3 linked regions of the Arabidopsis thaliana genome follow. The protein of the gene in region 1 purifies or fractionates together with the protein of each later gene. This does not show direct contact. Each region holds a gene or a part of one and is shown on either strand. Other genes may lie near its edges.

Evidence for each region.
Region 2: the proteins of AT2G45290 (region 1) and PDE345 fractionate together in Arabidopsis thaliana (co-fractionation; one large-scale study listed by BioGRID). This does not show direct contact.
Region 3: the proteins of AT2G45290 (region 1) and AT2G35040 fractionate together in Arabidopsis thaliana (co-fractionation; one large-scale study listed by BioGRID). This does not show direct contact.

Annotation. Positions count from the first base shown.
Region 1 is NC_003071.7:18,665,572-18,677,232, forward strand, and holds AT2G45290 (Transketolase), read left to right. Parts: upstream 1-6,925; 5' UTR 6,926-7,165; coding exon 7,166-7,648; intron 7,649-7,830; coding exon 7,831-7,921; intron 7,922-8,010; coding exon 8,011-8,116; intron 8,117-8,198; coding exon 8,199-8,481; intron 8,482-8,570; coding exon 8,571-8,719; intron 8,720-8,813; coding exon 8,814-8,967; intron 8,968-9,058; coding exon 9,059-10,018; 3' UTR 10,019-10,880; downstream 10,881-11,661. Other genes in the region: AT2G45260 (myosin-4 protein (DUF641)), read right to left, coding at 1-367; GCP1 (glycoprotease 1), read left to right, coding at 1,012-1,311, 1,406-1,450, 1,630-1,704, 1,884-1,980, 2,075-2,165, 2,253-2,302, 2,441-2,631, 2,730-2,815 and 5 more; RAD51C (RAS associated with diabetes protein 51C), read left to right, coding at 4,532-4,778, 4,919-5,005, 5,108-5,230, 5,313-5,346, 5,429-5,499, 5,578-5,804, 5,915-6,046, 6,132-6,198 and 1 more.
Region 2 is NC_003071.7:91,164-100,817, reverse strand, and holds PDE345 (Aldolase superfamily protein), read left to right. Parts: upstream 1-3,954; 5' UTR 3,955-4,326; coding exon 4,327-4,482; intron 4,483-4,594; coding exon 4,595-4,864; intron 4,865-4,959; coding exon 4,960-5,069; intron 5,070-5,172; coding exon 5,173-5,812; 3' UTR 5,813-6,091; downstream 6,092-9,654. Other genes in the region: RHA2B (RING-H2 finger protein 2B), read right to left, coding at 1-262; AT2G01130 (DEA(D/H)-box RNA helicase family protein), read left to right, coding at 6,183-6,323, 6,471-6,631, 6,703-6,790, 6,885-7,109, 7,194-7,289, 7,429-7,617, 7,734-7,893, 7,979-8,109 and 4 more. UniProt on the Arabidopsis thaliana protein: Plays a key role in glycolysis and gluconeogenesis.
Region 3 is NC_003071.7:14,761,897-14,772,797, reverse strand, and holds AT2G35040 (AICARFT/IMPCHase bienzyme family protein), read left to right. Parts: upstream 1-4,479; 5' UTR 4,480-4,528; coding exon 4,529-4,636; intron 4,637-4,710; exon of another isoform or gene 4,711-4,729; coding exon 4,730-4,829; intron 4,830-4,926; coding exon 4,927-5,002; intron 5,003-5,105; coding exon 5,106-5,202; intron 5,203-5,358; coding exon 5,359-5,461; intron 5,462-5,568; coding exon 5,569-5,702; intron 5,703-5,798; coding exon 5,799-5,976; intron 5,977-6,061; coding exon 6,062-6,219; intron 6,220-6,349; coding exon 6,350-6,559; intron 6,560-6,629; coding exon 6,630-6,977; intron 6,978-7,066; coding exon 7,067-7,193; intron 7,194-7,299; coding exon 7,300-7,451; 3' UTR 7,452-7,653; downstream 7,654-10,901. Other genes in the region: AT2G35050 (kinase superfamily with octicosapeptide/Phox/Bem1p domain-containing protein), read right to left, coding at 88-147, 250-3,090; URED (urease accessory protein D), read left to right, coding at 7,753-7,851, 7,937-8,002, 8,088-8,162, 8,261-8,305, 8,440-8,673, 8,826-8,908, 9,006-9,174, 9,298-9,411; AT2G35030 (Pentatricopeptide repeat (PPR) superfamily protein), read left to right, coding at 9,835-10,901.

The sequences.
Region 1 (11,661 bases):
CCTCATAAGTCTTCAACAAACTCTGCTGCTCTTGGATCTCTGCAGCTAAACGAGAGTCTTGTGGAGAGACACATACAGGTTTGGGGTTATTCTCTCTGTAAAAATGCTTCATTTCGGAAAGATTCTTGAGTTCAGAAATGACAACTTTGTCCGCTGCCTGAATCTTCTCGGGATCGTAAGGAGTATGAGCACTTTGAAGCTCGATATAAGCAGATTTCAAAGACGAGATGTTTCCGAAGAGATTGGAGATAAGTGCTTCCATAGCTTCAGGATTCTGATTGATAGACTCTTCCATTGGTTGAGGATGGACTTTTTGGTTGTTGTTGCTCTCACGGAGTTGGGTTTCTTTCAACCCACTTGGTAGCATACTTGAAAACCACCAAACCAATTTGTATTCTCCTAATCTCTCTAATTCAAACCTAATTTCTCCTGCAAAAAAATGTCTTAGAATCAAACTTGTGGAACAGAAGAAGACTCAATTTGAAACATTTTGTGTTTACAGATCTCGAAGTGAATTATCATTCAAATGAAATCTAGCTATGGAAAATGTAAAAAATAAATTTCACAAACCCTAAAGATCTTTCGACAGTGTTCATTTCCAGATAAAGTTCACAAGCTTTTTGCAATTTAGGTTTGTGGTTAGACAATCAGCTGTTATAATTTAATCTGAATCTAGAGAAAGAGATCGAAAACTAAAGAGATCACCTGGATTTGGCTCCGTGTGTGTGTTTATTCACTATTCAGACCGGAGAACAAGTTACGCGGTCGCCGGAGATTTAGCCGGAGGTGAAGGAAATACAGAGAAAGGTATATACTTACTTTTCTAGGAAGTGAACGGAAATGGTAAAGCTCATTATTTTTCTACTTGCTTAAAACCTCTAAACCAGGACCCAATCACTATGGTCAAATTTAAACCGGTTCTGATTTAAACCGGATTAGGCTGCAATCCAAACCTCAGCTCATCTTCTGCACACAGCTCAAGTTTCCGTCTTTCTCTTTCGGTTCGGTGAAATGGTTCGTCTGTTTCTTACACTTTCTCCGGCGATTTCCCGATTCAATCTTTATCCAGGAATCTCTATTCTAGCGAGAAATAATAATTCTCTCAGATTACAAAAACACCATAAGCTTAAAACCAAAACCCCGACTTTCTCGTTAATCTCTCCTTCATCTTCACCCAATTTTCAAAGGACACGTTTTTATTCTACCGAAACAAGAATTTCCTCCTTACCCTATAGCGAAAACCCGAATTTTGATGATAATTTGGTTGTTCTGGGTATTGAAACGAGCTGCGACGACACTGCCGCAGCTGTTGTAAGTCCGTTTAATCACCTTTCTTCTTCTTGTCGTGTTAACTTATAGTATTAGTTTACTGAACCTTTCTGATGTTGGAATGTGTGGCTTTTAGGTGAGAGGTAATGGTGAAATTCTCAGTCAAGTCATTTCTTCTCAGGTAACGATCACTCCTTTGCTTTAGTGGATTCTTTGGCGTGCTTTTCATGTTTAGAAGACTCCAGTAATGACTTGAATACATAGTTTTGTCTGAGAAAGCCTTTCACTTTTAAAAATTTCTATCCTTTATATGATTCGTTAAGTTTCACCTGTTCTGATCTCGGAATTGGCAACATTAAGGCAGAATTGCTTGTCCAATATGGAGGCGTCGCTCCTAAACAGGCTGAAGAAGCACACTCCCGAGTTATCGATAAGGTAATATAGACTATTCATCGTTACAAAGCATTGCATGACTCGATAACTCTCAAGTATCTAGATTCAGTCTTTGTTCACAATTGGTCCAGATTCTTCATTTTGCCCTGAGATGTGCATATTTTTAGGCCGGTGGGGTTTAATGCTAACGGCACACAAAAATGTTGATTCATCGGTTGCAGGTTGTGCAAGACGCGCTTGATAAAGCCAATTTGACCGAGAAGGATCTCTCTGCTGTTGCTGTTACCATTGGACCTGGTTTGAGCCTCTGTCTACGTGGTAAGTTGGAGAAATAAGAATCCACTCATTGTACTTTGGAATGATGAGTGTTGTTAGAGTACTTAGACACAAGTGTTTATTTTGAGTTATACAGTTGGTGTGCGCAAGGCTAGAAGAGTTGCTGGTAACTTCAGTCTCCCAATCGTTGGGGTGCATCACATGGAGGCTCATGCTCTCGTTGCTAGGTATTGCTTAATCTGCTCGCGTTATGGTTTTGTTCCCATTTTTTGAGATTTGTGACTGGCTCATCAGCGTCTGATTTGTCTATGTAGATTAGTGGAACAAGAATTAAGCTTCCCTTTCATGGCATTGCTTATATCAGGTATTGCAAAATCAGTTAAGTTTAATGTAAGTGAGAAACTATCATCTTAGTGAAGTTATTCTTAAGCAAAATCAGTTTCACCGTAGGGATTAGGTTTCTATCTAAACTGAAACGCCCCTTTTCTTTTTTTCTATTTAGGAGGGCACAATCTTCTAGTTCTTGCGCATAAGCTTGGTCAGTACACACAACTTGGGACTACAGTAGATGATGCTATAGGTGAGGCATTTGACAAGACAGCTAAATGGCTCGGCCTCGATATGCACAGGAGTGGTGGACCAGCTGTTGAAGAACTTGCTCTGGAGGGTGATGCAAAGTCTGTTAAGTTTAATGTAAGTGACAAACTAGTTGCTGGTTGGTTAGATATCTTTTTTCATGTTCTACTCAATGTTCACATCATTTCTGTGATATTGTTTACCATGTTTATCAGGTTCCAATGAAATATCATAAAGATTGCAACTTTTCTTATGCTGGTTTGAAGACACAAGTGAGGCTAGCCATTGAAGCCAAAGAAATGTAAAATAGTGAGATCTTATAATCAGCTTCGGAAATTGTTTATCAGCGTTGTGTCACATATGCTGAAGCTTTGTGTTACAAAAATATTGGTCGTTTGCTGGATGTGCAGTGATGCTAAATGTCCCGTCTCTTCTGCAACAAACGAAGACAGAAGAAACCGTGCTGATATTGCCGCTTCTTTCCAGGTACAAATTTATCTCCGGTTTTAATGTTCTAGTGAAATGCTGATTTCTAAACATTTTCAGTTTGTATGAACCAGCGAGTAGCTGTCTTGCATCTGGAAGAAAAATGTGAGCGAGCAATAGACTGGGCATTAGAACTAGAGCCTTCTATTAAACATATGGTGAGGTTTAGAACAAGAAAAAGAAACCTCTGTTTTGCTTGACAAATGCTTCTAGACTAATATTGACTAAGCTTCAGGTAATCTCTGGTGGTGTTGCTTCAAACAAGTATGTACGACTCCGACTTAATAACATTGTCGAAAACAAAAACCTGAAACTTGTTTGCCCTCCTCCTAGCCTCTGCACAGACAATGGTAAATAGAGTTTGAAATTCTCCTACTGATCAAATTAGAGACACAGAGAATAGAAACTAACAAGTATTCATTAGTCTCACCAGGAGTAATGGTGGCTTGGACTGGTCTCGAGCATTTTCGTGTAGGAAGATATGATCCACCTCCACCTGCAACTGAACCTGAGGATTATGTGGTACTTTTTCTTAACAAAACTCGGTACTTGTAAAGATTCTATTGTTTGAAAAACTGATAACTTGGAGATTGATGTTTTGTTGGTTATGAATTTAGTATGATCTTCGACCGAGGTGGCCTCTTGGCGAGGAGTATGCGAAAGGAAGAAGCGAAGCTCGTTCTATGAGAACTGCACGGATCCATCCGTCACTTACTTCAATCATTAGAGCAGATTCTCTTCAACAACAAACACAAACGTAGCAAGAAGATTGTCTCCTGTAACTTAAAACCAGATATCCAAATCCTTGTATTCTTTTCACTGAGGAACAAACGCTTTTCCGGTTAATTTAATTTCGTTCAATCATTGGTCCCGGTTAACCTAAACCGTGTCTGGTTCATTATACTTTTTAGTTTATTCCTAGTTCCAACATTAAATGGCGCCAACATTGAGGAGAAAAAAAGAAGCTTGCAGAGATCAATTTTTCTCTAAAGATTCAGTGGCCGTGAGGAATTCTTTCAGCTTCAACATATGCTCTAATCTTCTCAGGCAGGGAGTAATGATGCCTTTGCTCGTCCATGGAAAGTCATGGGACGTCTTTTATCGATAAATCGGTTGTGGAGCGGAGTGTTCTGTAGCTTCGAGGCGGTCAGAGATGGATTTCCGGTCAAGAAGATGTGGAGAAGACCAATCGATTGTCACAGAGTCTGTTCTGCTAAGGAGTTTTCAAATGGATTTGAAGAAAAATGGCAGGCTTCATTGTTTTAAGGTTGTTGGTCTCAAATCCATTTGTATCTTTGCCCATTTTGGGCTTTAAATGAAAAGTTGTTCGACGAAAAAAAAAGGGAAAAAAATTAAAAAAACGTAAAAAAAGTTGCAAATATGGATCGAACTCACGACATTAGTAAAATTTAGATGTCGTTGAACCACTAGACTACTGAGAATTATACGATTTTTAATCCAATAGTTTTTAAATATTGATTCAACGATAGGGAGTTAAAAGACTTTCATCGTTATATATGTGGCGCCAACAATGATTTCATTTGGGCGGCGTAAATCGCCGGCGATTGAAGAAACTTCACTCGCGACTTCAGTCATGGAGGCATGGAGGTTACCGTTATCGCCTTCGATTAGAGGAAAACTGATATCGGCCGGTTATACTTGTCTGTCTTCGATTGCTTCCGTCTCTTCTTCTGATCTCGCTCGAGGTAAATTTCTGCTTTACCCTAATCTTAGAAGATTAGAATCTGTTGCTCGTTTTTCTCTGATTAGCACAGACAGTACACCTCAATTGATTAGTCCTTGGGTTGATAATTAGGGTTCTATTTAGTCTCTTGTTTAAGGCTTATTTCTGGAATAATTCTATATATGTGTGTGTGTGTGTTTTGAGTCATCTTTGATATCGTTGGTGTGTGAGTAGATGCAAATATCACAGAGGAGGAAGCATTTGAGATTTTGAAGCTGGCTAATCAAAGTTGTTGCAATGGAAGCCGTTCACTCATAAATGGTAACTTGATGAACTCCTCCTTGGAGCTATGTTGGTGGTTTTTCTCCTTCTTAAATGGTTCACTCAAGGATTCTCTTTATGAAATTTTGTGACTAAACAAAGGAGCAAAGAACGCTTGGGATATGCTTCACGAGGAGGAGTCTTTGCCGCGTATTACTACATCTTGCTCTGATCTTGATAACATTTTGGGCGGTGGAATTAGCTGTAGGGATGTTACAGAGATTGGTATGTCATCTCCATTATCATTCTTTCTCTGGTCCAATTTGAGATCATTAAGTGATTTAGTGGTTTGCTTATTTTCTCAAAGGTGGGGTACCAGGGATTGGCAAGACTCAGATTGGGTAAATCCGCTTCACTGCTTTCCTCTACTTTCTCATCATCATCAGAGTGTTTCCTCTTCTGTTAACTTCGATCTGGTTTCAGGATCCAGCTCTCTGTGAATGTTCAGATTCCACGTGAGTGTGGTGGTCTTGGAGGGAAAGCTATATATATCGGTATGTTTCTTTTAGTAGTGATGACTAATGCCTTGGTTGATCACTTACTTGGTTGTTAATGCTTTTTGTATGCTACAGATACAGAAGGTAGCTTCATGGTGGAGCGTGCTTTACAGATAGCAGAAGCTTGTGTAGAGGACATGGAAGAATACACAGGATACATGCATAAACATTTTCAAGCAAATCAAGTACAAATGAAACCAGAAGATATCTTAGAGAACATATTCTACTTCCGTGTCTGCAGTTACACCGAGCAAATCGCATTGGTCAATCATCTTGAAAAGTTCATCTCTGAAAACAAAGATGTAGGTATAATAATTTTGAAGTTCCATCCCGTTGATTTGCTGCTACAAGTGTATATTGTGACATAATTCGGCGGCTCACTAAGACTCTCTTTAATCTTTCATGGTTGCAGGTTAAAGTTGTAATCGTAGACAGTATCACCTTTCATTTCCGTCAGGACTATGATGACTTAGCCCAGAGGACACGAGTGCTCAGCGAAATGGCTTTAAAGTTCATGAAGCTTGCCAAAAAGTTCTCACTTGCGGTAAGAAGAAATGATCTAATTCACAATACAATCCTTGACTAGCTTAAGTGGAGGTTCCTAATCAACTCTTATGATCCAATCTCAGGTCGTGTTACTAAACCAGGTGACCACAAAGTTTAGTGAAGGCTCGTTTCAACTAGCGCTTGCTTTAGGTGAGCCAAACTCAAATCTACCATCTCAGTTTGCTATTATCATCATCATCATTCATTTGTTATGATACTTAAATGGTCAACTTGTGCTGTTTTCAGGCGATAGCTGGTCTCATTCGTGCACCAACCGAGTCATTCTGTATTGGAATGGTGATGAGCGTTACGCATATATCGATAAGTCCCCTTCACTTCCTTCAGCTTCGGCTTCATACACTGTAACCAGTAGAGGTCTAAGAAACTCATCCTCGAGTAGCAAGCGAGTCAAGATGATGTAATGACACACCACGACACAGTCACAAGGACATGAGTAAGCTTTCTCCGGTTTAGTTTTGGTTCAGTTCTTGATTCCATTAAACTGCATGAGTTTTTTTCGGCCCAATTGTTTCATAAAGCCCAAATGGGCAAATATTCGGTACAAAAGAAGGTCATAAGAAGGCCCACTAATTGCAAACATAACAAGAAAAAATGAGCAAAATAAAGACACGTGCTATGCAACGTGGGATGTTGAGAGAAAAAAAGGTTTCGTCAGCTACGCCGTCACCGACTGGGTCAATACCGGAGTTGGTGAATTGGTGACTAAAATGTATTTCCTAAATCTAAAGCAATTTTGCCCCCAAAAAAAAAAAAAATCTAAAGTAATTAGGTTCTTCACCAACCCTTGTCATAACCATGGCTTTTGCTTAACACACCAACCATGCCGCATTGTCAATCTATTTTTTACTTAAATTAAATTATTATTTTAATAATTAGCGTAAAAAGCAATGATTAGTTGAAAATTAAACAAAAGAATTAGATTCGAAAAATTGTTAAAGCCATAGAGCATCACAGCCGTCAAGATTGTGTCCTTTCTGAATCCAACGGTCAGATCGAGATCTCATTGGTTTATTAATAGCAACAGTCTCCTAAAATAGGTTTGCAGAGAAGCTTTCTCTTCTATTTTCTCTCTCTCAGTTAACCAGAGAGAGCATCAATGGCTTCTACTTCTTCTCTAGCGCTCTCACAAGCTCTCCTTACACGAGCCATCTCTCACAATGGCTCTGAAAACTGCGTCTCTATACCAGCTTTCTCTGCTCTCAAATCCACTTCTCCACGCACCAGTGGCACCATCTCTTCCCGTCGACGAAACGCCTCCACGATCAGTCACTCTCTCCGCCCTCTGGTTCGTGCAGCCGCCGTAGAGGCAATCGTGACAAGTTCTGATTCGTCCCTGGTTGATAAGTCGGTGAACACGATCAGGTTTCTGGCAATAGATGCGGTTGAGAAGGCGAAATCAGGTCATCCAGGTCTTCCTATGGGCTGTGCTCCGATGTCTCACATTTTGTACGATGAAGTCATGAAGTATAACCCCAAGAATCCTTACTGGTTTAACCGTGATCGTTTCGTTCTCTCTGCTGGACATGGATGCATGTTGCAATACGCTCTGCTTCACCTTGCTGGCTACGACAGCGTTAGGGTTTGTGTTCTCTTACTCTGCTTATTAAGTTTGTATCCTTTTAGTTTACATTATTGAGATTACATAGTAAATACACAGATTGTTCCGTTTCCCTGCTCATTTGGTGATTTTTGGAGTCTTGAGATTTAGAATTGTAGAACCAACTTAAGATTTGCTGAAGCAGTGTTGAAGTTTTTTATTAGGAGGAAGATTTGAAGAGCTTCCGTCAATGGGGAAGTAAGACTCCAGGACATCCTGAGAATTTTGAGACTCCTGGTGTTGAAGCCACTACTGGTTAGTTAGATTTTCTCTGCTTCTTTTGTGTGTTTTAGTTGATGTTGATCTTTTGTAATATAGCATTGCTTGTATTTGCCAACATGCAGGTCCTCTTGGACAAGGTATTGCAAATGCTGTTGGTTTAGCTCTTGCGGAGAAGCATTTGGCTGCTAGATTTAACAAACCTGACAATGAGATTGTTGACCACTACACGTAAGATTTTGACTCCTTCAACGGCACTTTTATTGTTATCTTTCTTGGATTGTGATGTTGTAAACTGACTGCTTTGGATTAGGTATTCGATTCTTGGAGATGGTTGTCAGATGGAAGGGATTTCAAATGAAGTTTGCTCTCTAGCTGGTCACTGGGGACTTGGAAAGCTAATCGCTTTCTACGATGACAATCACATTTCCATTGATGGAGACACAGATATTGCTTTTACCGAGAGCGTGGACAAACGCTTTGAAGCTCTTGGATGGCATGTTATCTGGGTAAAGAATGGAAACAATGGTTATGATGAGATCCGTGCTGCCATTAGGGAAGCTAAGGCTGTAACAGACAAGCCCACTTTGATTAAGGTATCTGCACACTTTTTTTAGCCATGAACTCATTAAGCAACGTTTGATCTCATGGCCTTTGGTGTTAATTGTTTTGTGGCATGGTTTAGGTCACTACTACAATTGGTTATGGTTCTCCCAACAAGGCAAACTCATACAGTGTCCATGGAGCTGCGCTTGGTGAGAAGGAAGTTGAGGCTACCCGAAACAATCTTGGGTGGCCATATGAGCCGTTCCATGTACCTGAGGATGTCAAAAGGTAAGTAGAACTTAACTATGCACTTCTATTTATGGTTATGGTTGTGGTATGAGAACCTGCTTTGGTAATTTACTATAATTCTTATGTTTTCTAGCCATTGGAGCCGTCACACGCCCGAAGGGGCTGCTCTTGAAGCTGATTGGAATGCCAAATTTGCAGCTTATGAGAAGAAATATCCGGAGGAAGCTGCAGAGTTGAAATCTATTATCTCAGGTGAATTGCCCGTTGGTTGGGAGAAGGCACTTCCTGTAAGTAGAACTTTCTGGTAATCTATAACGTTTTATCAGTATTCTTCATATATAAGGCTCTTATTTTAGGCAACTTAAAATTTTCATTTAGACATATACACCAGACTCTCCGGGTGATGCCACCAGAAACCTGTCTCAGCAATGTCTTAACGCACTTGCGAAAGCTGTGCCTGGTTTTCTTGGTGGGAGTGCTGACCTTGCATCTTCCAACATGACAATGCTTAAAGCATTCGGCAACTTCCAAAAAGCCACACCTGAAGAAAGAAACCTTAGATTTGGTGTCAGGGAACATGGTATGGGAGCTATCTGCAACGGCATTGCCCTTCACAGCCCCGGTTTTATCCCTTACTGCGCAACTTTCTTTGTGTTTACTGACTATATGAGAGCTGCAATGAGAATCTCGGCTTTGTCTGAAGCTGGTGTTATATACGTTATGACCCATGACTCCATTGGTCTTGGAGAAGATGGACCAACCCACCAACCCATCGAACACTTATCCAGTTTCCGTGCCATGCCCAATATTATGATGTTCCGTCCAGCTGATGGGAACGAAACAGCCGGTGCATACAAAATCGCTGTCACAAAACGTAAGACACCTTCTGTCTTAGCCTTATCTAGACAAAAGCTGCCTCAACTTCCAGGAACATCTATTGAGAGCGTCGAGAAAGGTGGATACACCATTTCTGACAACTCAACCGGTAACAAACCCGATGTGATCTTGATCGGAACTGGATCAGAGCTAGAGATTGCTGCTCAAGCTGCAGAGAAGTTAAGGGAACAAGGCAAAAGTGTGAGAGTTGTTTCCTTTGTATGTTGGGAGCTTTTCGACGAGCAATCAGATGCATACAAGGAAAGTGTTTTGCCATCTGATGTATCAGCTAGAGTTAGTATCGAAGCTGGATCGACTTTTGGATGGGGAAAGATCGTCGGAGGAAAAGGGAAATCGATTGGAATTGATACGTTTGGAGCAAGTGCACCAGCAGGAAAGCTTTATAAAGAGTTTGGTATCACCATTGAAGCTATGGTTGAAGCAGCCAAGTCACTTATTTAAAAAAGTATCTTACAGGTACTACCGAGGTTTGCATTTGAAGTAAGAGACATTCCATAAGCATTATCTTCTTTGTCCAAATAAAAATATACTCCTTCCAATCTTTTTATAAATGATGTTTAAAGCTTTCATTTTGGTTTTTAAATAAATGATGTTTTAAATTTTCAATGCAAAATTATTTTTATTGGTTGATTAAATAAATGATGTTTTAGGCTTTTATTTATATTTTTATTGTTTTCTTGTAATTAACATAGTTTTGATCTTTGTAAACAACAACTCTATTGTACTTTTATTCTTGATTAGTTGATTTTATTTCGCAAAGACATGTAATCCTTACATGTTAATTGCAATCGTCTCAACTAGTCTTACATCTACTTTGTAGTCTAATTGGTTGACACAAAAGGAATTTACGGAATTCTGTCTAGAATCTTTCCATTTTTGCTTACAAATATGGCACAACCGGAAATTCCCTTACTTATTTATGGAAAAACAAAAGTGTCATGTGTTATATATATTGGTCCCTTTTTATGTTTGTAGGGCTATCACTACCAATCCACAATGGAAGATTCACAACCGTGTACATCACGTAACCTAGATCATGCCGAAAACTCCACAGCAAGCATTCCTCTTAAACTCATCTTCGAAATACTATCGAGGCTTTCGACGAAATTTATCATCAGATTCCGATCCGTGTCGATGCTGTGACGCTCTATCATCGATAGTAAAGATTTCGTCGACGCCTTTCTGAATCCTCTTTTTTCAATGAAGACTCTTTTTTTAGTCCGCTTTATGGAATAATACTTATGTTTTAACGTAATGAATCTTTATATCTATTTGTATTTTTCAGTTACACTTTTGTTTGGACGTTTTGTTTTCAAAGAACTTCTCAAGTTTTCTTTTCCTTTTTTCTTCTTGTAGTTTGCCTTGCTCGTTGGTGAATACACTACATTAATTGAGGGCACTTGCGATTATGATGTTCTCCCGCGTGAAAGAGCATTGACCTCTCTTTTATTCAAAACATCACATAACAGAGAGTCTGTGAGGTTTGGGACATCGCATTCTCAAATCTCAATATAAGTGGTTTTGGTCGAATGCTAGAAAAGGGTGACTTGTATGTTGTGTCGCCGCTAGTGTTCGTACATACAGTTTATGATCTAACGTATCTATAACATATTATTAATAGATATTATTTTGTTTTAATTTTGCACATTGTTTATAAATTAAGTGCAAAAATTTTTAGCTCCAAGAGATCGCCTTTGCTAATCAATAAAATTGAACGCATTTAATAAAATTGTAAGAGCAAACTCGCACTGATACGTAGAATAAATTTGTTGCTTTTGCCTTCACGACACCATTACCTATAGTTAATACTCCAAAAGAAATAGCAGATTCAACATACAACGTGCAAGACCAAAAAACAAATGACTCGTAATCTCCAGAGAATCATAATTCATAACATGGGAGATTGTCCACAAAAAACATAAATTCCCTTTCATGTCTTTTTGTTAGAAAACCCATTTCTTAAGGCCCAACAAAAAACATAATCCCCTTTCATGTCTTTTTGTTAGAAACCCCATTTATCTTTCTTGAGGCCCAATTTGAAAACCCACATTTTCTTTCACCTAACCCACCAAAGCCTTTGCACA
Region 2 (9,654 bases), about 19 Mb from region 1:
AAGAAGGGAAGAGGAGAAGAGACCGGACGTGTCTGAAGAAAGTTGCGAGGAGAGCCAGTAGCATCAGTGGGATCGAATCTGATGACACGTCGGAGAGCTGACCTTGTAGTCCCATTGATATGGTTTTAGAGATTGTTTTTGTTACTTTGGTTCTTGTTGTTGTTCTTGCTGCATATACTACCTTGCATCTCATCTCTTTCTTCTTCTTTATATGGATGGAGAAGAAGAAGAAATGACACAGGCCACGTGTTGTGGGACCCATTATTTTGCTTTTGGTTAAGCCCTTTCACTTTCAGTCCTTTTCGTTTTTTCCCATCTTCATACTTTTCGCCCCGCTATTTGCATTTTATGATGAATATGACCCAAAACATTTCACTTTTCTTTATTCTCACCCACATTTTCGGTTTATTGGAAAGAGATACTAAAGTCAAAATTGAATGACTCTAAAATGTTGTTGGATGCTGATTTCATATCTCTATCTAAGCTCCTTTCTATCTCCAAAGACCAAACAAAATTTTACAGAGGCCTTCAATCATTGAGCTTTAGAACCTAAAGAAGAAAAACACTGAATCATCATAATGATCTTTCATGATCGCATCTATTCCTTTGTGTCGCGCTTCTTCTTGTGATAGATATTATTAGCAATTTAGCATGCCCAATGTTTAGTCCTAAGATCATGGCTCATATCATTCATTTTAATTACTATTAATATGTTTCACTTATTAATGCCCCACAAATATAACATGATAGTAAATAATTAAGTCTTTGAATGGATGTTGTGGTTAGTGCAGATTAATCCGTTAGCGGTTCAGTCCATACTAATTTTAGATCGAACAACAATCCGCTGCAAATTTAATTTAAAGACGGTTCGTAGTTAGTCCACAACAATTTTTATTTTTTATTTTTTGGAATCCGCACTATTACATAATATAATTTATAAATAGTAAATAAAACACGATTTGGTATATAGACATTTTTGTCTTCTTAAACCGCTATAACCATTCAAAGTCTAAGTTTTAGTTATTTTCTTGTCGATTACTCATATATATTGATCAGTTTTCAGAATTTCCCAACATGGAAAAAGTATCAATTGTCGACCTTTGTTATATTATTTACAAATCCCCCAGCTAGCTAGTTAAATAGTATGTTTCAATTATTTTACTCATTCATAGTTTCATTTAATTATATGATATACTTAAGTGTAGAACATTGGAGAAGCATTTTTGGAATATAAAAAGGAAGTGGGCGGTTTGTGATTAATTCTTAATTAACAACTGACAGGGAACCAACTAATTAAATTATCCATCCTTTGTGAGAGATTGTTTAATATATAAAGCAATTCATAATTTGTGAACTTGACCAAGATTTTAGCACGATCCTCGCTTCGCTTCTTGTCTCCCTTGTGACGCATATCTAATATAAACATAAATTCATTATGTATCATGTATGTATGATCTTAGTTCTATATTGACGCAAGAAAATTCAAGTATTTGTTCACTTCGTGCTACCTATGAATGTACATAAATTTTTTTTAAAAAAATATTTGTTACTAACGATCATATAAGATAGTATTAAGTTATTCAGAAAACATAATTAAAATAGAAATTGAAGGTGTAGGTGTGTGGTTTAGTCATCGATATAGCCAACCAGTGACAACCACCTCGACTCTCTTTGACCTAATTATTTGACCACTCCTTCCACTTTACATCATAAAATCTGAAACCACTTACCATCTCTCGTCACATAGCTAGCAGACGATCGTCTTCATTATGTGGTTGTGACTCTCATTCTAATGTAATCCTGGTAAAAATAGCATGCGAGTGTCTTATCGATCCTCGTTGTTTATATGATTAAATCATTTATTATAAAATAAACAAAACACAACTAATATTTTTTGCATTAAAAATTTAAAATATTTTAGGAGGAGTGATTGTTTCGACGAAAATATATTTTATATAGTATGAACATGAATGAGTAAAAGGTAACTCATTTTGGTGTGTGTGTCAAATTTTGATTTTAAGTTTTTTTTGTTTGTTTGTTAAGTGTATCAACGAATCTCTAGTTCTAGCTTTGATACCAACTGAAGTAGCGGAAGTTTTAATGGATAGAACTAGACATCCGTTGATTCCTCGGAATACCAGAAAACTAGAATTTTTTGGATCTGTTGATTCCTCAGAATAACAGAAACGAGAGAACGTAAGGAATTCGTTGATTCTCTTCGAATACCGAATCCTACATCTTTTTATAACCGTTGAAATCTTTCAAGATCTACCGAAAGCAAGGAATTAGAGAATACTCTTCTCTGAAAAGGTAAAAGCTTAATTTTATTAATCAATTAACTGAATACAATTTTAAGTTCAAAAGTCTTAATTATAATAAATCCAAAATTTTAGAAAATTCATAAAACAATAAATAAAAATTATCTAAATAATTAAATAAAAATATGAGGAAATAATAAAGACAATTTGAAATTATCCAAATATATACTGCATTAGGTAGCATGCGGCTTGCAAGACTATAGTATTTGTTTTAGAAACTATAGGTCTATTAGCTAGACAGAATTAAGAGCTATAGAAAAGTTGTTAAAATTGATAATGCGATGCTTTTTCACATAACTCAAGAAAACCAAATCAAGTTCCGATCCATCATTGTTTGTCGACCAAGGGATGATCAGTCGATAGGTCCACGTACGTTGTTGTTTAAATGAAAATAGTTAACATGGATGTAAATTTAATAAGTAAACAATGAAAATGACAAATGAAGTAGAGAAGATGGAGAAAACAGGACCAAGGGCTTGTAAAAGAATTGCCAAATAAACAACAACGTGGTCCTATCACCTTCTGCTTCTCCCTACGCACCAACCAGTCAACCATACTCAATAGGTTTCATTACAAGACAAATAACACACTCTCTTTTGTCTTTTCTCTTTTTTCGAATGGGAAACACTGACTAGCTTTGTTTGTATATTTAAATCGTTTCTAACAGAGAGAGCGTGGCGAAGTGTGAACACAAACACCTAGAAAGATCTGAGAGTCAATTCTTCTGGGTGACATATGCATGTGAACTGTATGAAGACGCGTTTTGGGGTTTATCGTTTAAAAATCATTAGATATGTGACTGACCAAAGTGTTAATCAAAGATCTGCACCAACACCTTTTACATATACTATATTCTAATACGTAGAGGCAGCGTAGAACACTCTAGAAGAAGTACTAGGTGAATTATGATCGATATGCCATTCATCTGAGAGCAGAGAATGGAACTTTACGCATGTTTAATTAAAACAACTTTCAAACTTGTCTTAAAATATGAAAATTACTAGTTCCTACTCTGATTAAGATAAGATTGGCATTATATTCATATTCTTGTACCTAATATATAATTGAAGCACTTGAACATATTTAGTCATATAGTCTTGAATTTTGTTGTTGTTTTTCCCTTTTTTTGTGGGGTCAAACTGAGTTGCTGTAAATTTGAACATACATATGAATATGCATTTAAATTGTGGCCAACAGTTTTAGAAAACTGTTATCAAATCAAAGATACTTTAAAAATACAAAAAAGTAGTGTAAGATACAAGAAAGAAAAAGTTGCCACTTTCTCATGTCGCATATATATAACGTTTCTCGGAACTTGCATTTTCTCTCTTCTTGTTTACACCTTCCTCGCCTGTTACGAGTAACACCAATATTTGGACTTATTGGATGGTTGCCTTAATAAAAAGGAAAAAAAAAAAGAAAAAGACCCAAGAACACCAAAGCTGTCGTGGGCTCTTATTGTTTATCTGAAACTAAGCCCTATTACTATTGGGCCCAAAAATCAATTACGTAAAAGAGTTTGCCTGTTATATAAGTTGTTTACTATTGTGGCCCAACAGATAAAAAAGGGAATATCCGGCCCATTCTCTTTCATCACACTCCTTGAAGAGGTGATAGGTCATGTAATTTGATTAATTAAGAAAAACGATTGAGTTAGACGAAGAGGCAATGGTAGGAGAAGGATAGTTTGGGTAGACGAAACGGTAGAGTTTTGGTTATTCTCAGATTCTTGTTGTTGAGAGACTGATGAACTACTAGAAAAAATTACCAGTATCTCCCTCAAGGTTAAAAGCGTCATTTACGGTAAATTGGGGAATAAAATGGTAAAGAGAAGGAGGCTTTTTGGTGGTGGGAGTAGGTGATGCCAAAGTAGACGACTACTAATAGTAGTAAACAAAACCTTTGGCTTTAACACTCTCCTCCAAATCCCAGATCTCTCTCTGTCTCTGTCCCGCGGAGTCCCCGAGAGATTGATCACCATCACTTTTGTACCTTCCTTGTACTACCTATGGCGTCTGCTAGCTTCGTTAAGCCTAACACCCTCTCTTCTCCATGGATCGGCCAACGCTCCTTTGCTCACACCTCTGCTTCTTCTTCTCCTCCTCCTCGAGTCTCCTTCGCGATCCGCGCCGGTGCTTACTCCGACGAGCTTGTTAAAACCGCCGTGAGTATCCTCCTTATCCTCTCTCTCTCTTTGATGCTTTATTAGTTTGGATTCGTTTCCGTAATTCTCAAAGTCAAACGTAGAGTGAGATTCTCTGATTATTGCGTAATAGAAAAGCATTGCATCCCCTGGGAGAGGTATCTTGGCGATCGATGAGTCCAATGCAACCTGTGGGAAGAGGCTTGCTTCTATCGGCTTGGATAACACCGAGGACAACCGTCAGGCCTACAGGCAACTTCTGCTTACCACTCCTGGCCTCGGCGATTACATCTCTGGTTCCATTCTCTTCGAGGAGACTCTTTACCAGTCCACCAAGGACGGTAAGACCTTTGTCGATTGCTTGCGCGATGCCAACATCGTCCCTGGCATCAAAGTTGACAAGGTATTTTTTATCCATTTATTCTGTCATCATCATCATAAGTAGTTGAGTTTTTATGTGTGTTGAGTGAAGTGTTGACAATGCAATCCACCGCGTAGGGCTTGTCTCCCCTAGCCGGTTCCAACGAAGAGTCTTGGTGCCAAGGCTTGGATGGATTGGCCTCACGCTCTGCTGAGTACTACAAGCAAGGCGCTCGTTTTGCCAAGTGGTATGTCATATATTTCACCATGTTATCTTACATATGGTATTAACTCTTTGGTTTGATGTGAAAATGCTCTTCCTAGTTTTGATGTTTGTGTGTGTTTGTCTAGGAGGACAGTGGTGAGTGTTCCCTGCGGTCCTTCAGCACTGGCTGTGAAGGAAGCTGCGTGGGGGCTGGCTCGCTATGCAGCCATCTCTCAGGATAATGGTCTTGTCCCCATTGTGGAGCCAGAGATCCTTCTGGACGGGGACCACCCAATAGAGAGGACTCTGGAGGTGGCAGAGAAAGTGTGGTCAGAGGTGTTCTTCTACTTGGCACAGAACAACGTCATGTTTGAGGGCATTCTGTTGAAGCCGAGCATGGTCACCCCAGGCGCTGAGCACAAGAACAAGGCCTCTCCCGAGACCGTTGCAGATTTCACGCTCACCATGCTGAAAAGGAGGGTTCCTCCGGCTGTCCCAGGGATCATGTTTCTGTCAGGAGGACAATCAGAGGCAGAGGCCACACTGAACCTGAACGCCATGAACCAGAGCCCAAACCCATGGCATGTGTCCTTCTCATACGCACGTGCCCTGCAGAACTCCGTGCTCAGAACATGGCAAGGCAAGCCGGAGAAGATTGAGGCCTCGCAGAAGGCACTGTTGGTGAGGGCAAAGGCCAACTCACTGGCCCAGCTCGGCAAATACTCAGCCGAGGGAGAGAACGAGGATGCCAAGAAAGGAATGTTTGTCAAGGGTTACACCTACTGATTTGTTAATTTCAGAGATCGTAATAAGGATTAAGGACCATTGTTGTCTTTTGTTTTTTTTTCCCTTTTTTGTTTTGTCTCTGAGAAAGAAAGACAGTCACGAGTCACGATCATATCATATATGTATGTGAGCAACGTGAAAACATCCTCTTAAATCTATATTTCCTCTCAGAAAGACTGATTACTGTTTGACTGCAAAACCAAATTGTGTAATTCTTCTTTTAAGTTTACAAAATTTTTGGAGGGCGATTAGGTAAAATTGGCATAGTTGCAAGTTCAGTGTTAGAAGAAGCAGCGGAGATCTCTCTCCCTCTTTATAGTTTACTTTTGACTTACAGTAGAGAGAGTTTAGAGTTTTGAATTTGGCTCCGATGACGAATCGTCTTCCTCCTTCGCTGTACGTTCCGCCTCACCAGCGCCTTGGTTCCGATTACGGCTTCAATCCTGTTCCTCTCTCTCCAGTTCGCTATGTCTCCGCTTATGATGACCGCGTTTCCGAGGATCGCCAACCGGTTAACTTCTTCTTCATCTTTTTTTCATGCATCTCTGAGCTTTTTGATTGATGCTCTTACAATGGCGATTCTAGTTTTCGATTTGCTCTCGAGTAGCATTTTATAAAAATCCCTTTATCTTTCTACTGGAACCATATCAATTTGCAGCAGGAGGGTACCTTTCACTGTGCCGACTTGGATGATTGGAATAAGAGATTTTCAATGCTTTTGAAAGATTCTTTAAAGCAAGAAGTTATTTCCAGGGAGAAAAAAGATAGACGGGATTTTGATAAACTTGCTGCTCTGGCTACAACCCTGGGATTGTATAGGTACATCAATCATGCTGCTCCTTTCTTTCTTCTTTCTCACTAGTACAACCATTTCTGTTTCTTTTTTGCAGTCATGCATATGCTAAGGTTGTTGTCTTCAGTAAGATCCCACTCCCCAACTATAGGTTTGATTTAGATGACAAGAAGCCACAGAGGGAGGTATTATCCGCTGCTCCTCACTCTCTTCTCTTACACTTAACGCAAGACGGCTTGTTTTTCTTTAAAGAGCAGATATATACAAAAATATTTACAGGTGAATTTGCATACTGACCTTCTTCAAAGAGTTGAAGCTTACCTCACAGAATACCTCAGTAAAAGCTCTAATAGGATAGATAGAGTCCCTGCCAATTCCGTCTCAAGAACTAGTAGCATTAGCAGTACTGATGAATGGTTTTCTGAGCAACCACTACCCATCTCTGCCACCAAAATTCTTTGGCAAAGGAGTTTGCAGCTGCGTGATCGACAACAATATTGGCAGGTTCTGTTTATATTAGGTCCTTAATATATTCTTCATCTATGCTTTTTCATCGTCCATTTAGTTTTGATGTGTTCCATTGATTAGGCATCCGTAGAAGGCCAAAGAATGTTGGATTCTCGTACAAGTCTCCCTGCTTTCAAGCAAAGGCATTCAGTATTGACAGCTATTTCACAAAATCAGGTCTGCACAGAAGATAACTGGAAGCATGCTTGAGCTCAGTCGTGTGACATCTGTGTCAAATAGAAAATCGAATATCAACTTGACGGTCGTCTTGGTTTTGTATTAGTTCCGATTACCCACATAAATTTTCGTATTGCAGGTTATTGTTATCTCTGGAGAAACAGGTTGCGGCAAGACCACACAAATCCCGCAGTTTATTTTAGAATCCGAGATTGAAGCAAACCGTGGAGCTTTTTCCAGTATCATATGTACTCAACCAAGGAGAATATCTGCTATGTCTGTTTCGGAGAGGGTTGCTTACGAGAGAGGAGAGCAGTTGGGTGAATCTGTGAGTTTCACCCTGCATGCTCCTATATCTAGTTAGCGTGGACCCTTCTTATACTTTGAATTCCTCTCTTTTTTACTGATTAAGCTCTCTTGCTTTTTTCTTACTTTTTTGTGAAGGTTGGATATAAAGTTCGATTGGAAGGTGTTAAAGGAAGAGATACCCGCTTACTCTTCTGCACCACAGGCATTTTGTTGAGACGCTTGTTGGTAGATAGAAATTTAAGAGGAGTTACTCATGTTATCGTGGATGAAATTCATGAGCGTGGAATGAATGAAGGTATGTATACTTTTGCTATCAAGCAGCTCCTCATTTTTAGCTTAACTTGATTTAGGTGTCTTACTATATTACTTTTGTATTTTAGATTTCCTTCTTATCATTCTTAAGGATCTGCTATCTCGTCGCTCAGAGCTTAAGCTGATTTTGATGAGTGCAACTTTAGATGCGGAGCTTTTCTCGTCATACTTTGGTGGGGCAGGTGTCATTTATATTCCAGTAAGTAAGAAACATATTTGTTTATCCTCTTTAGAACATTTCAAGATATTTAATCTTTTGCTGAGTTCAATATTCCTTGGATCTATATGCTCTGATTAACCCCAGTGAAACTACTAATATTGTCTTCTTCACTATAGGGATTTACATATCCAGTTCGTAGTCATTTCCTAGAGGATATTCTGGAGATGACCCGGTACAGATTGACTCCATACAATCAAATTGATGATTATGGTCAAGAAAGAACGTGGAAGATGAACAAACAGATCCCAAAAAAACGGAAGAGCCAAATTACCTTTGTCGTTGAGGTATCTAGAAAAAGAATATCAGCAGCTTAACTCTACATGTTAGGTCCTCATTTCTTTTTCCCTTATGCAAACAGGACGCACTGAGAGCAGCTGACTTCAAGGAGTTTAGCCCTGAGACTCGAGAGTCTTTATCTTGTTGGTATCCTGATTGCATTGGTTTTAACCTCATAGAATTTCTCCTTTGCAATATATGTGAGAATGAGGGTCCTGGTGGTATTTTAATTTTTTTGACTGGGTGGGATGATATCAGCTCTCTGAAAGAAAAACTGCAGATTCATCCGATCTTTGGCAACCCAGATTTGGTTATGTTGCTTGCCTGCCATGGTTCTATGGAAACTTTTGAGCAGGTGATTTATAATGTTTTTCTCCTGATGACAACACATGCTAGTGTAGTTTGCATTGTAGAATGACCGTCGAATATAACCGAGTTCATCTGTTGAAGAGCTGATACCAATTTCTTCTCTTTTTCCCTCTCCGTTCTTTGCAACCAGAACCTGTATTTGAAAGATACCATATTTATCATTAACCGTTGACTTTATTTTGAGTAAATGCAGAGGTTAATATTTGAAGAACCTGCAAGTGGAGTAAGAAAGATAGTCCTAGCCACTAATATCGCAGAAACGAGCATCACGATCAATGATGTTGCTTTTGTCATTGACTGTGGAAAGGCAAAAGAGACCTCCTATGATGCATTAAACAATACCCCCTGTTTGCTTCCTTCTTGGATTTCCAAGGTTTCAGCTCAGCAGGTATTGCTATAGTTTGTTAGAGTTGTTAGCTTTTGAGAATCAAACTATTAATAAGACTACGGAGCCATTTCCCCCTAGATTCATAATAGGAATGACCATTAGTCAATTTTTTCAATAAAAGAAACGCAGGAACAAGGACAGGGATTAGTAGTACTGTTTACATAGACGTTAATCTACTAGCTATTATATTTTCTTTCTTTGTCTTTTGCGTAGTTGCATTTCAAATACACTGGACTACTAAAAATGAGTATAAGTATTCACTGCCAACAATCTTAACTATCTGACTGGTCCGTGGGCTTACATTTAGTGATATTTATTGTTGATTCTCATGCTCTGTTTGTGATTGCAGAGAAGAGGAAGAGCCGGTCGTGTTCGACCTGGACAGTGTTACCATCTTTACCCAAAGTGCGTATATGATGCTTTTGCAGAATATCAGTTGCCTGAAATTTTAAGGACGCCTTTACACTCACTGTGCCTGCAAATCAAAAGCT
Region 3 (10,901 bases), 3.9 Mb from region 1:
TCAGTCGTTGTATGTATCTGGTTAAAAAAGAGAGGGCAAATGCAACAGCTTGTAAAATTGTTAAGCCATACGCTGACAAATGCATACCTGCAGAGACCTCATGCCACTATCCGCAGCCATAAAGTCAATAAGAGGAACTCCAGCATTCTACATATCAAATTTATGGAAATTAGAAAAATATCAGTTGAGACGTTGCCAGTAGTGAAATTATTAGATTTTCCATATTTAGGTTGAATACAATAAGCTTACCAGAGTTGCATCCGTGCTTTCAGCACCTTTGATTTGTGACTGACTGTAATCTTCTTGTGTGTCTACTGTGTTCAAATCAGGTATGGTAATGGTAGACACATCTGGCTTGATATTTCCATCAAAGTGGATTTGTGGATGTATCTGACTTGAGGCAACTTTCTCAGACTGCAATGGTGGGTAGCTATAATCAATAGGAACTCCGTTGGTGTTAGTCATGGAAGTGGGAAATCCAGGGTGGTCCTGATCCATAAGGGATAGATCCTTCCTCTCAAACTCATCCTGCGCCAAATTTCGAAAATACGACCAAGTTTTAGGGTCATTATTCTGAATATTTAAACTCACACCAGCTCCATCGGCATGCAATGGCCCTAATCCAGGGAAGTTCAGAGACTCTTTCGTTTTTAATATATCAGCAAGAAACTCACGAGGAAACCTATCATTTATATCAACAACTATATCCCCCTTCTCATTGTGTCCTTGTGGAACAGCCTTTGCTGAAGTCTCTGTCTGACTTACATGCTCCGGGGTGTTAGTTTCCACGTTTTTTTTTTCAGACTGTGACATACTACCCTCGGCTGTCCAGATGCTATCAGGAGCTGGTATTACTGGCGCAGTAGGATGAACATTCTGGGACTCCATATTTGCTTCATGAGAAGTTTCAGATGATTCGCTGATAGGCAGGAAAGCATCTGATGTTGTTTGAGCCATTACAAATTGAGAAGCAAGGGAATCATCAGATTTAGACAAACGGTTAGTTTCTGTTGGATCTCGTACAGTTCGCTCAGAATGAAAGACTCTTTGCTGAGTCACAGGCTGGTCGAAATTGCTCACATTAGATGAACTATTATTTGAAGTACCATGTCCAGATACTGAGAATCCTCCAAGCAGACAAAATTGATTGTCCTGATTCTTTTTCATGCCTTCATTTGTTGTATCGAAGGCACCCGTTTTCTCCTGGGATGTTCTAAGACTTTTTTCTGGATAAACCAAGGATTTTGGATCTGGTGTTGAATTGGATATCTTCATGGAAATAGGAGCTTCTTCCTTGAGGGCTTGATCTGGGACCATAGAATCACTAGATACAGAGGAAACGGAATATTCATTGACCCTTGTGGTGGAGTGTTCTTTTCTCATCTTTGGCTCCTTTGCTGACAGATTGTTCTCAACATGGTCCTCGGATTTCCTAAGACTTTTCTCTGAGAGAGTTGAAGAACTTGGATCTGGTGTTGAACTAGATGTTTGTGTGACAATTGGAGCTTCTTCCTTCGGGAGGTCATCTGGGACTATTAAATCACTAGGCATAGAAGAAACAGGATACTCATTGACCCTTGGGGTTGAGGATTCTCTCCTCATCTTTGGCTCCTTTGCTGAAAGATTGCTCTCGACAGTAGATATAGGATGATCATTTACCTTCTGAAATGAGTCATCTCTTCTCATTTTGGCCTCTTTTGATGAAGTTTCTGGATCTTGTACATGAAAGATCTGCTCCTCACGCAAAAATCCTTGCTCAGGTTTTTGTGGATAGTGGGGCACCAGGCTTTCAAGAGGTGTTTCAGGATTCACAGAATACGGGATATAATGAGGTTGTGGTTGAACATGTAAAGGAGCAGACCTCTTCTCATCTATATAGCCTATGCTTGCCATGTGACCTGACGTGTAAATTTGGTGGTTACCAAGTCCGGGGAACTGCAATTGTTGTCCTAGATAAGGCTGTGAAAATGGCTCATTTCCAGTAGAAAATCCTGTTACAGGTTGAGAAGTTTGGCTCGCTGGTAAAGATTCATTACCTGCTAAGGGAGTAAGCGAAGCCACTGCTGGTTCTGTAGCAGCCCGATCGATCTTCCTATCAAAATTCCCATGAAGTAGTTCATCCAAATTGTTCCCGGGAGGACTTAATCCAAGGGAACTTCTCCGTGAACTTAGATCCATCCCATTGACAGCAACAACATACTGAACCTCAGAATCACCCTCTGCATGTTCCATAACAAACTGAGCCTCCTCTATATCACTGCTTGAAAACAAGAACATCCTGGGCTTCTCAGATCCTCCATTACCAAACACGATACATTCTTCCATCATGTTTTGTAAATCCTCGTCAGAAGATACAGAGACTAGGGCATCAAGATCCTCTCCTGGCAGCTGATATTTTATGGTGCGTGCTTCAGGAAATATTTCTTTCATTTTATGCATGAGTTCTTGGAAAGAAATAGTCTTGCTAATCCGTATGATACGCGTTTCACCACCTACATACCTAAGTTTCTGATCTCTGGGGCGGGGTATAACTTTACCACCAAAACTACACAAGAACTTCGCACGGTTCAAAGAGCTATCAGAAGCTCTAGAAGAAACCAAACTATGACGCCTTTGACCAGTATCATTTTTCGAAGAGATAACTGGGGCTGACTGGACCAGTTCATGATAGGTCTTATCTTCAATTCTAGAAGGGGGTTTCCTCTCGTGCTCAAAGCTCTGACGTTTTTCTTCTATGTTAAGCACTGTAGCGTTAGGGCCACTCTCTGACATTGGATGAACCATTCCCAGAGCACTTAAGTTAACAGAAACAGGCATACCACTGTGCTCACCATACACATTTGGGATGAACTGCGGTTTCATAATAACCCTATCTCTCATAAACTCAAAAGCAAATTCTTCACCGGTCTGTATTGAGTAGTTTAGCACTGGCCGAGCAGGGGTTGAAACACCATAATCTGGAGGTCGTACATAAGTGTTAACATTAGTTGAAGAGTCGTGGGAAAACCTTTGATTAATGGAGCCAAGTCCCTCATCTCTAGGGTCAGGGGCAGTATACCGAACATGTTCATAACCTTTTGCTTGATCCATGTTTTCTTTCTCAAGGTGTCTATCTATCTAGTTCATAAGCTCCCTCACAAACGCTTGTAGGCGACATATCATGATCATGACCCAAGTAAAATCTTTGCATAAGCATCCTTCGCAAATTTCTAACGTTTTGGCTGCAGAACAGGACGACTTCTATCATGAACAACTCAAACTCTCATTGAGGTGCCTGAAATAGGAGAAGAGTAACTTTACTCAAGTAGTCAAACATATTCAAGAACAAAAAAACCAAAATAGCATACGGCTAAAACTCAGAAAACCATACTATTTAAGGAACATTTTCGGTATACAAACCAATAAAACTCTTTACTCTAGCAGGGACAGATCATCCAGTACAAATATCTGACTGTGCATACTTTCCAACATGAAACTAGCTAAAATGACTACTTTCTAGTCTCTTCAAGTTTAAACTAACAGGAATCGCTGAAACTAAAATCGATCAACTTCACCAAACTATTAGCAAACCCATCGTAACTTTGAGAGAGTGTAAATCAACAGATCAAAACATAGAACTAAATCCAAAATTCAATCAAGTCCGTGAAACAATTCCAAACCTCAAAAAGGAAACAAATAAGCGTCATTTCGAACCAAAAACTGAGCTAAAAACCTCTACCCAACCAAAAAACAAAAGCCGATCAAGCCATCAAAACCACTGAAACTCTAGAAAATGCAAGATCTGAGTATCATTACCCGAAATTCAGGTGGAAACACATCGGATCCAGAGATTTTCGATAATAATGATCAAAATTCAAAAACAGCATACACCTAAAAGGAAGACGAGTAAGCAAAGAAGGAGAGAAGTAGAGAAAAAGGTTTATACCAGGAAAGGCGGCACCAGAGACTGTGAAGCGTCCTCGGTTTGACGATCGATGAGTAGGAGAAGAAGCCAAGTCCTTCCTTAAAATCTCTCTTCTAATTTTGACAATTCGAAAAACAAAACTATATTCTCGAGAAAAAAACTATTATGCCTACCAATAAAATAATTGTTATCTACTTACATTATTTAAAATTCTGAAAAGCAAATAAAATATCATATAAAACATAAGAAGCTTTCGTCATCTCCATAGTTAGTCTTTTGTAATATTACCACTCTGATCCAATAAAGTTTTATTTCTTACTAATTAGTTTACACTTGAGAATTTTGGTTTCTACTAAATTTTTTAAAATTTGGAGTTAAAATAGTTTAGTTTTATTTTTGGGGGAAATAAAAAGAGAAGCTTTATTCCAATTTTCCAAATATTCCAGGTGTAATCTAACTGTCAAGGCCATAATAATAAATACATAATTCCACCTGACGCCAATAATAAATTACATATTTTCCTTTTTTTTTTATTTTTTTTTCTAATTTATTTCCAAAATTAGCCGCAAAATCACAAAACCTAACAGAGCTCAACACTACACACTGTTTCAAAATCAGACTACTATGCTCAGCTCAGCCGCCACCGCCACCTCCGTGAGTGCTCGCTCCGGCGATATTCTCTGCGGCTTGTTTCGCAAAAAATCCGTCGCGCCTTTTCGTTTTACTCAGCCTGTGAGTTCTCCTCTGTGTGTGGACGTGTTCCTTTGTGTCTTTGTTTCATGTTCTGCTAAACTTTTTAATATTAGTGGAATTTTCAATGAGCAGGTCTATCGTACGTCGCTGTGTCCAAGTTTCGTTGCTGTTCGAGCCATGGCAGAGTCTCAGACTGCTCAGAGGAATCAGCCGCAATCCTCAGGCTCCTCTGGTTTACAATTTTTCTTTTTGCTGCAATTTCAAATTCAGTGATCGATTTTCAGTTACGTTTTAGTGATTTTCAAATAATCGGGCTTTAATTGAATCAGGGGAGAAGCAAGCTTTGATATCTCTATCTGACAAGAGGGACTTGGCTTCTCTTGGCAACGGTCTGCAAGAATTGGGGTATGTGTTCTTCACAACTCTCTCTTACTTAGAACTATACAAATTTTGGTTTTGTTTCTATCTTATATGTAAATGATTCCTTTTTTCATTGATATTTGTGTAGATACACTATTGTTTCTACTGGAGGAACTGCCTCTACTTTGGAGAATGCTGGAGTCTCTGTGACCAAAGTGGAGAAGCTTACTCATTTTCCAGAAATGGCATGTTTTTCTTTTCTCTTATGCTCGCTGCTCTTGCTAAAAGTTTTGGTCTTGTGATCTCGCTGATATTTATATTTAAGTTTTGGTTTATACCATTGTTTTGTTGAGTTTAGTATATTAAACTTAGCTCTCCTTTTTTTTTTTCTTCTCTTAAAGCTTGATGGCCGTGTGAAAACTTTGCATCCAAACATACATGGTGGTATCCTCGCTAGAAGGGATGTGGAGCATCATATGGAAGCTCTTAATGAGCATGGGATTGGTGAGTTTTGACCTTTGATTGATCCTCTACATTAAGCTTGAGACTAAGTCATTTATAGTGTCTCCTTATGTTTAACTGTACCTTTTTTTTTTTTAATTCTATGACAGGTACATTTGATGTTGTGGTTGTCAATTTGTACCCGTTCTATGAAAAAGTTACTGCTCCAGGTGGGATCAGTTTTGAGGATGGGATTGAGAACATTGACATTGGTGGCCCTGCTATGATTAGAGCAGCTGCTAAGGTAATACATATATCTGTGCATATGAGACTTTTTCTTTACACTTGCAAGATTATTTTCAAGATTATAAATGTATATTTTCTATTGTTTTTTCAACAGAACCACAAAGACGTTCTCATTGTTGTCGATTCAGGAGATTATCAAGCTGTTTTGGAGTATCTCAAAGGAGGACAGAGCGACCAACAATTCCGCAGAAAACTTGCGTGGAAGGCCTTTCAGCATGTTGCTGCATATGATTCTGCGGTTTCAGAATGGCTATGGAAGCAGACTGAAGGAAGTATGTGATTGTTTTTATGTGATCCTCCTTACACTAGTTATGGCAATTGGCAACTTACATTGATTGATATTCATGTCTTTCTCAGAAGAGAAGTTCCCTCCCAGCTTTACAGTTCCGCTTGTACTTAAGAGTTCTCTTCGTTACGGTGAAAATCCTCATCAAAAAGCTGCATTTTATGTTGATAAGAGCCTTGCTGAAGTGAATGCCGGTGGTATCGCAACAGCGATTCAGCATCATGGAAAGGTAAGAAAGTATGCTACTTTTTCTGTCCGGTGTAATTTACAGAGCAAATAGTTTTAAACTGCCATTTATATCCTTATCCTCGCTTTCAAGCCTTATTATGTTTAACTTTTCTATTTATTTCTGTGAGCAGGAAATGTCATACAACAACTATCTTGATGCTGACGCTGCATGGAACTGTGTGTCGGAATTTGAAAACCCAACATGTGTAGTCGTGAAGCATACAAATCCTTGTGGTGTGGCCTCTCGTGATGATATTCTTGAGGCTTACCGGCTAGCTGTAAAAGCTGACCCAGTTAGTGCCTTTGGTGGCATTGTAGCTTTCAATGTTGAAGTTGACGAGGTAATCAAAAGTCAAACTACTGTTGTCCCATACATTATTCAATTGTTTAGTGATCTGTAACTGTCTCTAGGTTCTTGCGAGGGAGATCCGAGAGTTCAGGAGCCCAACAGACGGGGAAACTAGAATGTTTTATGAAATCGTGGTTGCTCCAAAGTATACTGCTAAAGGTCTTGAAGTCCTCAAAGGGAAATCAAAAACTTTGAGGATCCTCGAAGCTAAAAAGAATGACCAAGGGAAACTATCGCTCAGACAGGTTGGTGGCGGCTGGTTGGCTCAGGACTCGGACGATTTAACTCCAGAAGACATCAGCTTCAATTCTGTCTCAGACAAAACTCCGACTGAAAGCGAACTTGCGGATGCAAAATTTGCCTGGCTCTGCGTTAAGCATGTCAAGAGCAATGCCATTGTGATAGCAAAGGTTGGATTTTCCTCTCTGATTCCTTTTCTTGTTTCTCTTTCTGTACTTGTTTGCTAGTAGTTTATTCTGATTCTTGGGTTGGCTCATAGAACAATTGTATGCTGGGGATGGGAAGCGGACAGCCAAACCGAGTAGAGAGTCTGAGAATAGCTTTCAAGAAAGCTGGGGAGGAAGCTAAAGGAGCTGCCTTGGCCAGTGACGCATTCTTCCCATTCGGTATATATATTTTTCTCTCCGAAACCATTCTTCTGTCTGAAATGACTCATCAATCAACAAATGTTAGCCGTTCTGAATTGGAAATTTGTTGTTGTGTGAATTGCAGCTTGGAAAGATGCGGTGGAAGAGGCGTGCCAGATGGGAATAGGAGTGATAGCAGAACCTGGAGGCAGTATTAGAGACCAAGACGCTATTGATTGCTGCAAAAAGTATGGAGTCTCTCTGCTCTTCACCAACGTTAGACATTTCCGCCATTAAGGACACATCCCTCCAGTTTTGCTCTTATAAACACATCCAAGAGAGTTTCTGAAGAAGAAAACCCACCAAACAAAACACAAAGAGTGGGAAATAAAACTGTTGTAACATTAATTTGGATTGCGTTCGAGTTTATGTATGATTAGAACCTGAGAGCTGTTCCTACTTATAAATTTGACATTTTTCACCCAAAATCATATCTTTCTCTACATCCAGAAACTGATGAGATTTGCATATAAAATATTCAACATTTCTACTCAAACTGGAGTGAGAAAGTCGACGACAGTGTGGAGAGAGATCAGAGATGGCGACAGGGAAAGTGGTGGTGGAGAAAGTGGGAGGAAGATCTACAGCTACGAGCTGCTTCTCGAAGTATCCTCTCAAGTTCTTACTTCCTAGCAAGGTCTCCTCTCTCTCTCTACGTAGAGTTCACAGTTTCGAATTTTCAATCTTTAGTTATTAAAGTTCCGGCGACACTGAACTTTCAGGCAGCTCCTGCTGGAACTGACGTTGTCTGGATTTACAGTATCACTTATGGTGGCGGCATTGTCTCTGTATTTCCCTATTTCTCTGTCTCTTTATTAATGAATTTGCCATCGATGCGCTTGAATCAATCTAGTTCTTGTTCAAATTATGTAGGGCGATTCGATTTCATGTGAATTCACAATTGGTGATGGATGCACTGCAGTTATTACAACGCAGTCTTCTACTAAGGTTGAATCAATTTAGGGCTTTTCTCTCTCTTTGCAATGGACACTAATTTCATCCTACGTGGTTGACTTTCTGTTGATGGATCTTGTGATTTCACACAGGTGTACAAGGCAATAGGATCAAAGTGTTCTGAACAGATATTGGAAGTAATGTTTCTTTCACATTTCTACTAAAATCATTTTGAGCTTTCTTAGTAGAACAGAGTGCTATTGCAATAGAATAGGACCATTTTCTTTGATTCATGTTCCTGATTGATCTTTCGGTTTGTTGTGTGCAGTAGGCGAGAATCGGGAGTGAAGCTCTTTTGGTTGTGATACCAGATCCAGTGACTTGCTTCTCCACTGCCCGGTACTATCAGAAACAGATCTTTAGATTGCTTTCAGATTCCAATCTGGTCCTTGTGGATTGGATCACAAGCGGGCGTCACGCTAATGGCGAAAAATGGGATTTCGAGTTTTATAAGAGCATCAACAACGTCTACCTGGAAGATGATCACCCTTTATTCCTTGACACAGTTAGTTAAAATCTCATACCCACTTTCAGATTTGTAGAGAATGGTTTACCTTAAACCAAGTAAAATCCCGCTTGCAAATCGTGTATGAAGTATTGATAGAACATTCATGAGCGTGGTTAGATCTTCCTTTGGTAATGGTTTATTCATTGCAGGTGCTACTAGAGAAGAGGAGCATCCAAAGCATAGCCGAACGGATGCAAGACTATCAAGCTATAGCAATGGTCATACTCTTCGGGTATGCAATTGCAAAACATTTAGAACACGTTTTAGAGTTGGTAGTGCTCTCTATGAGAATTTGGATCTTTGCTAAATATGTTTGAAAATGGATCAAGGGCAAAGCTGAAGGAAATCCAAAAGCAAGTCCAAGAAAATGTGAAAAACATGATGTCAGAACAATTACAGCTCTCTTATAGTTCTCGGAGACACAAGTCTGAGTCAAGCTCTCGTAATCGCTTCATGAAACCAGAGTTTATAGCTTCCTGTAGCACTTTCGGCCCTGAGGTTGGTATCATCCTTTCTTTCCACTTCCTACAATCAGGAAACCGTGAACCATATATAGCTTTACATAAAACTAGACAATATTAAAAGACTGTAAATGGCTAATCAAAGTTGTATATGTTGCAGGGAAAGGGAGTTGTGGTTAGAATAGCTTCGGATTCTACAGAGTCTGTCTACAATTTTTTGAGGCAACAATTGGCTGAGCTTGAACCAGTTCTTGGTCAAGCTCCTTATGCTTGACTCTTTTTTCTTCTTCTTTTTTGACTTGACTCAAAGGTCCATACAATTGAAATGAATAAGGTAATAGGAAACCAAATATCAAAATATGATTTGTCTTGTGCCAAACACGACATACAAGCCAAAATGAGCTTGTTTTGCTGCAAAAGTCCCCTATTTTCAAAGTTCACTTATAACAGGGGGTCACTTTGTAATAAAGTATAAATATTATGGGTCACTTTGTAAAATCAGTGTTCTTCCGAGAGTTTGTTCTTCCTAGCATACAATGTTTTACAAACGCCATTGACGACCACGACAGGAGCCAAGCCTCAGTTTTTGACAACTCGAGTATCTCTGAGAAAAAGCTCCTTGGTCGCTTCAACACTTGTCTTTCCCTATTATCGACCTACGCAGTAAATAAGATTACTTATTGCTATCTTTTAGCTGATGCAATCTCGCGCATTGTCGCGCCTGAGAAGTTACTACAAAAGATCATCGGTATTTCCCAGCTCAGACAATGACCGATCCGTGCAACTATTTAATCTCGTACGTTCGATTTACTCTTCCAGCTCAAGACCACGTGTGCCACAACCCGAATGGCTGATTGGGGAGCTGTGCAAAGTAGGTAAAATTGCAGAAGCACGCAAACTGTTCGACGGATTGCCTGAGAGAGATGTGGTCACATGGACGCATGTGATTACTGGGTATATTAAGTTAGGGGATATGAGAGAAGCTAGGGAATTGTTCGATAGGGTTGATTCTAGGAAAAATGTGGTGACTTGGACAGCCATGGTTAGTGGGTACTTGAGATCTAAGCAGCTTTCTATAGCTGAGATGCTTTTTCAGGAAATGCCTGAGAGAAATGTAGTTTCTTGGAATACTATGATTGATGGGTATGCTCAAAGTGGGAGAATTGATAAAGCCCTGGAACTGTTTGATGAAATGCCTGAGAGAAACATTGTTTCTTGGAACTCAATGGTTAAAGCGCTGGTGCAGCGTGGGAGGATAGATGAGGCGATGAATCTATTCGAAAGAATGCCTAGAAGGGATGTCGTTTCATGGACTGCTATGGTCGATGGATTGGCAAAGAACGGTAAGGTAGATGAAGCGAGACGACTTTTTGATTGTATGCCTGAGAGAAATATCATTTCTTGGAATGCAATGATCACAGGTTATGCACAAAACAATAGGATAGACGAAGCTGACCAACTCTTTCAAGTGATGCCGGAGAGGGACTTTGCTTCATGGAATACAATGATCACAGGATTTATACGGAATAGGGAAATGAACAAAGCATGTGGTTTATTTGACCGGATGCCTGAAAAGAATGTCATTTCCTGGACCACGATGATTACAGGATATGTCGAGAATAAAGAGAACGAAGAGGCACTTAATGTTTTCTCAAAGATGTTAAGGGATGGCAGTGTTAAGCCTAACGTAGGAACTTATGTGAGCATTTTAAGCGCCTGTAGTGACTTGGCTGGGCTTGTAGAAGGGCAGCAGATTCACCAGTT